Macaca fascicularis: one gene and its partner. Each later gene encodes a partner of the first gene's protein in a complex. Links are inferred from orthologs where the notes say so. Each region holds a gene or a part of one and is shown in the gene's direction. Other genes may lie near its edges. The genes, in order: ATP2A1 and SLN.

Evidence for each region.
Region 2: the proteins of ATP2A1 (region 1) and SLN are in contact, whole or in part, in a crystal structure (PDB 3W5A), measured with the Oryctolagus cuniculus proteins. The link is inferred for Macaca fascicularis from reciprocal best matches to the Homo sapiens genes ATP2A1 and SLN. Residues at the interface, in XP_069919846.1 of Oryctolagus cuniculus: Phe88, Val89, Leu96, Ala100, Ile103, Val104, Trp107, Arg110, Asn111, Asn114, Arg324, Lys328, Trp794, Leu797, Gly801, Leu802, Thr805, Ala806, Phe809, Trp932, Ser936, Leu939, Leu943, Leu946, Ile947, Val950, Pro952, Leu953, Ile956; in NP_001075856.1 of Oryctolagus cuniculus: Met1, Glu2, Arg3, Ser4, Thr5, Arg6, Glu7, Leu8, Leu10, Asn11, Phe12, Val14, Val15, Thr18, Val19, Leu21, Ile22, Trp23, Leu25, Val26, Tyr29.

Annotation. Positions count from the first base shown.
Region 1 is NC_088394.1:27,574,171-27,577,984, reverse strand, and holds part of ATP2A1 (sarcoplasmic/endoplasmic reticulum calcium ATPase 1), read left to right. Parts: intron 1-284; coding exon 285-373; intron 374-632; coding exon 633-735; intron 736-949; coding exon 950-1,081; intron 1,082-3,814. UniProt on the Homo sapiens protein: Key regulator of striated muscle performance by acting as the major Ca(2+) ATPase responsible for the reuptake of cytosolic Ca(2+) into the sarcoplasmic reticulum.
Region 2 is NC_088388.1:106,717,307-106,721,555, reverse strand, and holds the start of SLN (sarcolipin), read left to right. Parts: upstream 1-1,182; 5' UTR 1,183-1,276; intron 1,277-4,249. UniProt on the Homo sapiens protein: Reversibly inhibits the activity of ATP2A1/SERCA1 and ATP2A2/SERCA2 in sarcoplasmic reticulum by decreasing the apparent affinity of the ATPase for Ca(2+). Also inhibits the activity of ATP2A3/SERCA3.

The DNA of each region.
Region 1 (3,814 bases):
AACTCCTGCCAGGTGATCCACCTGCCTCAGCCTCCTAAAGTGCTGTGATTACAGGTGTGAGCCACCTCGCCCAGCCTCAGTAACGATTGTTTTATGGCTTTGATGGAGAATGATTGCAACAGCTTGGTGGGAAGTGGGTAGGGTATATGGGGGGTGGGGGACAGGGAGGGGTGAGTAGGAGGGTGGGAGGGTAGGTGTTGGCAGCACAGGCCTCCTTTGATGCAGGCGCCCACCTCGGGATGGGGAGAGGTGGACATCTGTGTGCCTGCCCTTCTCCCCTGCAGATGTTTATCATTGATAAGGTGGATGGGGACATCTGCCTCCTGAATGAGTTCTCCATCACCGGCTCCACTTACGCTCCAGAGGGAGAGGTGTAAGTCACCCAGGCAACTTCTCCCCAGCTCCTCACGCCCCTCCCCACACCCCCTTTCTCCCTGGGACCCTCCATGTGGTTTTGCTTTCCTTTCACTCTCCCCTTCCTCCCTGACCTTGTTCTCTCCTGATATCCAAGTTGGCTCTCCCTACTGTCCTTCCTGACCCTCGGCTGCCTGCTCTTCCTGTGCCCTCTCTGCATCTCATTCCCTGTTCTTCTCCACTGTCTCTGTCCCTTCCTCCTCCGACCCTGCTGCCAGCTTGAAGAATGATAAGCCAGTCCGGCCAGGGCAGTATGACGGGCTGGTGGAGCTGGCCACCATCTGTGCCCTCTGCAATGACTCCTCCTTGGACTTCAACGAGGTAACCTCTCCTTCCCCTTCCAGTTGGCTCAGAGTCTGAGCCTCCTCTGAAGGCCAGGAGGAAAGGGTTGGAGGAAGGGGACCCAGTACACCCAGTCCTCTGCCAGCGTGCAAGGGAGGCAGTGGCTTGCTTCCTTCTTACGCTAGGTGGAAGGTGGGTGTGACAGGTGGGAGCCTGGGGCACCTACTTCCTCTTCCTCCTCTGCCCATCTCAGGCCAAAGGTGTCTATGAGAAGGTTGGCGAGGCCACCGAGACAGCACTCACCACCCTGGTGGAGAAGATGAATGTATTCAACACAGATGTGAGAAGCCTCTCGAAGGTGGAGAGAGCCAACGCCTGCAACTCGGTGAGCCTGCAGAGCCCCTGCCACAGGGCCATCTCCACTCTATGCTGCACAGACCAGAGGAAGGCAGAGGCCCTGGTTGGACTGGGTAGAGCCTAGTGCCTGTGCTGGGACCCCACCCAGGCAGTGGACGGCCCCCCACAGCTTCTCCGCAGGCTGATGTGGGTGGGACCCATTGTCCCTGGTGCTGCCTGGCAGCTATGCCCTTGATGGATCTATGATCACTTCTGCCTGCTGTGTCCTGAGTTGAAGTGGACAAAGCTGGACACGGAAACTACAAGGGACCCATCCAGGAGCAGCCCCAACTTCATCTGTTATCCCTTTGTTTCTAGAAGCACACTTGCTTTCAGCAGATCATGAGTCCTGACTTAGGATTTAGGAAATGTGGCTGCTGCACCTACAGGGAAAGCCTTTCCTTGCCCAGATGAACTCAGCCACTTCTGGGACTGTCACTCCCAGTTATTGCTATTGATACTTGCTGAACGTCTCCATTAAGCACCTCTCTCTGGTGAATTATATTCCCCACGTTTCTCTCTTTTTTTGTATATACAAAATGCTCATTGCTACTTTATTTAATATAACAAAAAAGCAGGTGAGACACAGAGACTCACGCCTGTAGTTCCAGCGTTCTGGGAGGCTGAGGTGGGAGGATCACTTGACCCCAGGAGTTCAAGACCGGCCTAGGCAACACAGTGAGACCCCATCTCTACAAATAAAAAAAAAAAAAAAGGGCCAGGCGTGGTGGCTCACGCCTGTAATCCCAGCACTTTGGGAGGCCGAGGCGGGCAGATCACGAGGTCAGGAGATTGAGACCATCCTGGCTAACACGGTGAAACCCCGTGTCTACTAAAAATACAAAAATTATCTGGGCATGGTGTCAGGTGCCTGCAGTCCCAGCTACTCGGGAGGCTGAGGCAGGAGAATGGCGTGAACCCGGGAGGCGGAGCTTGCAGTGAGCTGAGATTGTGCCCCTGCGCTCCAGCCTGGGCAACAAAGTGAGACTCCGTCTCAAAAAAAAAAAAAGATAGAAAAATATTAGTTGGGTGTGGTGGTACAAAACTGTCCTCTAGCTACTAGGAAGGCTAAGGTGCGAGGACTGCTTGAGCCTAGGAGGTCAAGGCTATAGTGAGCAGTGATTGCACCACTGCACTGCAGCCTGGGCAACAGAGGGAGACCCTGTCTTAAAAATAAACAAACAAACTGAAAGCAACTTAAATACCTATCAATAGAGGATTAATTTTAAAAATTTATAAATTATAATGCAAACATAAATTTTTATTTATTTATTTTTGAGATGGGGTCTTGGCCTGTCGCCCAGGCTGGAGTGCAATGGCTATTCATAGGTGCGATCATAGCGCACTGTGGCCTTTAACTCCTGGCCTCAAGTGGTCCTCCTGCCTCAGCCTTTCAAGTAGATGAAGCTATAGGCATGCACCACTTCTCCTGGCTATTGATTTTCTGTTCCTTTTATTTTTGTTTTGTTTTTTGGAGAAGTATCCATGATACATTTGGTGAAAAAGGCTTTCATTCTTTTTGTTTGTCTGTTTTGAGACAGTCTTGCTCTGTCACCCCATTCTGGAGTACAGTGGCACGATCTCAGCTCACCACAACCTCCGCCTCCCGGGTTCAAGCAATTTTCCCGCCTCAGCCTCCCTAGTAGCTGGAATTACAGATGCAAGCCACCACGCCCAGCTAACTTTTTGTATTTTAGTAGAGATGAGGTTATTTTTTTTGAGACAGAGTCTTTCTCCTTTGCCCAGGCCGAAGTGCAGTAGAGCGATCTCGGCTCACTGCAACTTCCGCCTCCCAGGTTCAAGCAATTCTCTTGCCTCAGCCTCCTGAGTAGCTAGAATTACAGGCATGCACCACCACACCCAATTAGTTTTTGTATTTTTAGTAGAGATGGGGTTTCACCATGTTGGTCAGGCTGGTCTCGAACTCTTGACCTCGTGATCCTCCTGCCTCAGCCTCCCAAAGTGCTGGAATTACAGGCGTGAGCCACTGCACCTGGCCTTCATTTTTTTTTTTTTTTTTTTTTTTGAGACAGAGTTTCGCTGTTGTTGCCCAGGCTGGAGTGCAATGGTGTGATCTCTGCTCACCGAAACCTCCGCCTCCCAGGTTCAAGTGATTCTCCTGCCTCAGCCTCCCGAGTAGCTGTGATTACAGGCATGTGCCACCACGCCCGGCTAATTTTGTATTTTTAGTAGAGACGGGGGTTCTCCATGTTGGTCAGGTTGGTCTACTACTAAAAAATACAAAAATTAGCTGGACGTGGTGGCGTGTGCCTAAAATCCCAGCTACTCAGGGGGCTAAGGCAGGATTGCGCCACTGCACTCCAGCCTGAGCAACAGAGCAAGACTCCATCTCAATATAAATAAATAAAAATTAATTCAAATTAAATAATATACAGAGCACCTCCAATGCTCCACAGCAATTGCTCAGTTGTACCAATTGTACAGTGCAGATCACAGAACATTTCTATCGTTACTGAAAGTTATAGGGCCAGGTGTGGTGGTTCATGCCTGTAATCCCAATGCTTTGGGAGGCCAAGGCAAGAGGATTGCTTGAGGCCAGGAGTGAAACCAGGCTGGACAACATAGGGAGACTCTATCTTTAAAACACTTTTTTAAAATTAGCCTGGAGTGGTGGCATACACCTGTGGTCCCAGCTACTCAGCTGGCTGGGAGGCTGAGGCAGGAGGATTGCCAGAGCCAAGGCTGCAGTGGGCCATGATCA
Region 2 (4,249 bases), on another chromosome or scaffold:
CCCATCGCTAAGCTTATGTTAAAATGAGGAAACGAAATGGAAAGTCTTGTTTTGGTAATGTCTCTGGGGTATGAGGAATGGAATGGACGGAAAGGTTTCACGACGGGCACAACTACGTAGAGAATTTCGTTTGTTTATGCCTTTTGGGAATGCATTATTTTGATTGACCCTAACTGGGAATTCAGAGGGGGAGATTTCCTCTATTATCTATAAAGAAAGGATCTGCTGAGCAAACACAATGGCTAGGGTCATGTTTAAAGTACTCAATTGATCTGCTTTCAAGTCTAATGAAACACTTCAGGGGCTCTAAACATGTGATATGTTGGTTACAAACTCATCTTAGTCTAATTTTAGTCAATGTTTGTGTTAGAAAGTTATATAATACTTGTCTTTCATTCAGATATATTCTATAATTCACATTTTCCACTAATTTTACCCCAGTTCTCCTTCCCCCCCAATCTATCCAAATAACTGAGTTGAACTCTGTGAGTTTACTGCTCTATTAATTTATTGACAGAGATATACAAACCATGACTTCCTCGGCTGTTTCAGATGAAACTGTAGATCCACATGTAAACTTGCAATGCACAGCTTAGCCGGAAAGTTATGTGGAGCAGGTGACTGAGGGGATAGCTTTCACTGCTTGGACTAAAGTCAGTTTTCAAAGAGCTAAAGATGCCTATTGAATTCTGGAGTGTGTGTGTGTGTGTGTGTGTGTGTGTGTGTATGGGTGTGCATGTGTGTGGGTGTAAAGCAGCAAACTCTTCACATTTCAAATAACTAAAGATATGGGTGGTAAAATGAAGTCACATTTTTACACCTCACATGCTGACTAGGGAGAGCAGTCAAATGCAGCATCGACTGGTTAAAATTAGTCTATCATTCTTGGTTTAGGATGTTTTAAAGACATGTTAAAGATATTCGTGAAGATGTAAAAGATACATTTAAAACCCACGTCAATTGCACTAAAAGTCAACTGGAAACAGAAGGTTTTTAAATCCTGGTAGTGGCAAATTGGCAGCCAAAGGAACAGAGTCTTAGTCAACATATTCCCATGTCCCCCTGAACACAAATAGCCTCGAACCTTCGGAGGGTGTTCCTTTGAGATATTTCATCAGTGACATCACAGTGATTGCCAGCTTCCACGGACTACTTTAGGCACTGCCCAGAGTCTAGGAGTCCAGACAGCCTGGGAGGGGAGAAGGAGTTGGAGCTGAAGTTGGAGACAGCGAGGAGAAACCTGCTATAGCCAGGGTGTGTCTCTGATCCTCTTCAGGTAACTGCAGGATTTTTATGCTTAGCATACGGTGTGTGTGTGTGTACAAGCTGCAAATGAGAAAGGCACAGGAATGTTTACATTTCTTAATGAAATAGGCAATGCCCCTTGTATACAGCGTGCCTTAAGGTATAAAGTGAATACTATTGCTTTCTCTTTTCCTTTTCTTTCTCCTAAGGGTATGCATTTTTTCCCTTCCTAGTAAAAAAAAAAAAAAAAATTTTTTTTGGTATTATGGAAGAAGGTCTGTTTGCTATCTTCTCTAAGTCTCCATTCAAAGAAAACCAACGTCAAGCTTCCTGTACAATTTATTCAGAGCTTTTTTGGGTTTTAGTTCATCCACTTGCAATCACTGGATCATATGGCATGACCTTGACTTCAGGGAATGTTTAAAATGAAACCCAAAGTGTCTTTATGGGTTAACAGCAGAAAAATGGAACTTGGCTGATCTGAATTTCTGCCTAACTGGTTCATTCTTCCTAAAGTGTATAAATGTGTGTGAAAGGAATGTTCACACCACACCTTACAGTTAGTATATGTGTTGATTGAATTGAATTCACTAGAAATTCTCAACTTAACTCTTTATGTTTAATTCATCTAAAATCACATAAAACAATAAATACTTAAGGTCACCGTTAAAGTGCAAGAAGTAGTAAGAAGTAAATCCCAAGAAAGAAAGAAGTGTGATGGGTAGCCTGCTAATTCAGAGATGACTGAAAAAAAAAATGTAAAGAGTGCATAAACATATACAGTTTAAACAGTAACTAAAAGGCAACACTTCTATAATTATCATCCAGCTCAAGAAACAGATCATTGCCAGCGCCCAGAAACCCATTCCTGATCAACCCCCATCCTGCCCTTCTGCCTCAGATGTTGGGATCCTCTTGTCCCTGTTATTCTTTATAGTTTGACCATCTATGTGTGCATTCCTAAACAGTATGATTAGCCTCCCTATTTTTGACTTCATATAAATGGAGTCATATTCTATGTTTCTTTTGTAAATTCTTTCACCCAACAGTTATATTTGTGAGATCTACCCATTTTGTGTGTAGCTATAGTTCATACGTTTTCTTTGCTTTATAAAATTCAAATGTATGAATATACCACAATTTATCATCCATTCTGCTGTTGATAAACATTTGAGTTGTTTCCAGCTTGGAGTTATTGTGATAATATTGCTGTGAACCTCTTTGTTTATGTAACCTGGCACACACGTCCTTAAATGTCTTAAGGTAGAAGTGAAATGCTAGATATTAGAGAATGAACATTTTCACCATTAATTCTAAGAAAGCCAAATTGTTTTCCAAAGTGGTAGAAAATTTATGCTAACTTTGTTTAGCCAGGCCAGTTAATTGCAGTGATAATTCAATTATGTCATAACTCCTAGGAAGTGACCACAATTCTAGTAACTAGTTCCAGTCTGCTAATTCTAGCTTTGCCTCTAACTTGTTATCTGTCATTACACAAACATCTTAATCTCCTCTCTCTAAAAGTCAGTTTCTCAGCTGCAATCTTGAGAAAGAGAAAAACTGCAGTAACACTTGCCTGCGTTGTTGTGAAGGTAACACGAACAGAGCTGTGGAACAGCTTTCAATAGTATTTTTCTCATTTTCTGAGTATATCCTGTTGGATCACTATCCATGATTCCTGTGACTTAACAGCTTAATTTAATAGGCAGATTTGGTGGGACCGTTATTTTGCCCTCCTTGAATTGAATTGTTTTGATCATTATAAGCCAGGCTTCATATTTTCTGCATTTCTTGAGAACTTACCCAAATACATGGACATTTGGACTAGGGTTTTATTTCATTGATAAGTCTATAAGAAAGAATCTGTCTTCATTTCTCATTCCTTTGCCTCCAGGCACCTTGGCAAGACTCATTACCTTTCTGTTCTCCTCTGCTCTTTTGTACATTCTCATAAATCCTTTTTCCTTGATCCATTCATTTTCTTCTGTTTACTTTCTCCTCCAAGCAAATCTTTGTAAAGATTTTCTATTTTTTCCCCTTTTTATTTTCTTGGAGAGACAGGGTCTTGCTATGTTATCCAGGCTGCTCTTGAACTCCTAGGCTCAGGTGATCCTCCCACTCATTATTAGACTGCCTGAATAATGTGCAAGCCTCCCAAAGTGCTCATTAGAGGCATGAGCCACCATGCCCAGCCATTTGCGATCGTTTTCATTGGCAATTTACTATTTCCTTCATGCTGAGGTCTAAAAGATGGATAACAATTAAAAGGGAGATGAAACATAAATCTGTCATCATTTGGCTATATATTTGCTGGCTGGCACCATCCGATTTGAACTTGTATTTTTTTTTGAGACAGGGTCTCATTATGTTGCCTAGGCTGGTCTTAAACTCTTAGGCTCAAGGAATCCTCCCACCTCAGCTTCGCAAGTAGCTAGGACTACGGGTACCCACTGCCATGCCTGGCTGAACCTGTATGTTATGCCAGTTACACAATACGAAAAATGATTATTCAGTTGGCATTTATGCAATTAATAATTTGGTCCATTGATAATATAATCAATACAGTAATTACAATTAATAATTCAGTCATGTTAGATAGTTAAAAAAATACCGCTCAGACCAAAAGCTTGCTCACAACCCTTTCAGCCTCTTGAACTCTCACCTTTAGCAAACAAACAAAACACCTTTTCTCCCTAAACTTTCACTCTACAGTAGACTTTGGCCCTAAATATCTAAGATATAAATATCTAATTATTCAAAATACATAAATCTTTAATTTCATTTAGACTGCCTGAATAATGTGCAATTTACACTACCTCACTGAAGACAATAATTTGATGACTTCATTGCATATGTTCTCAAAGTATGATTTCCTGTATGGACAATCTGTACATACTATGAGGATACCATCCCTGCTCTTTGAAATGTTTACAATCTAGGCACATCCTGGACCTGACTAAAAATAGCTGGCACAAGCCCTTGTTGAAACAGAAGTACCCATGAA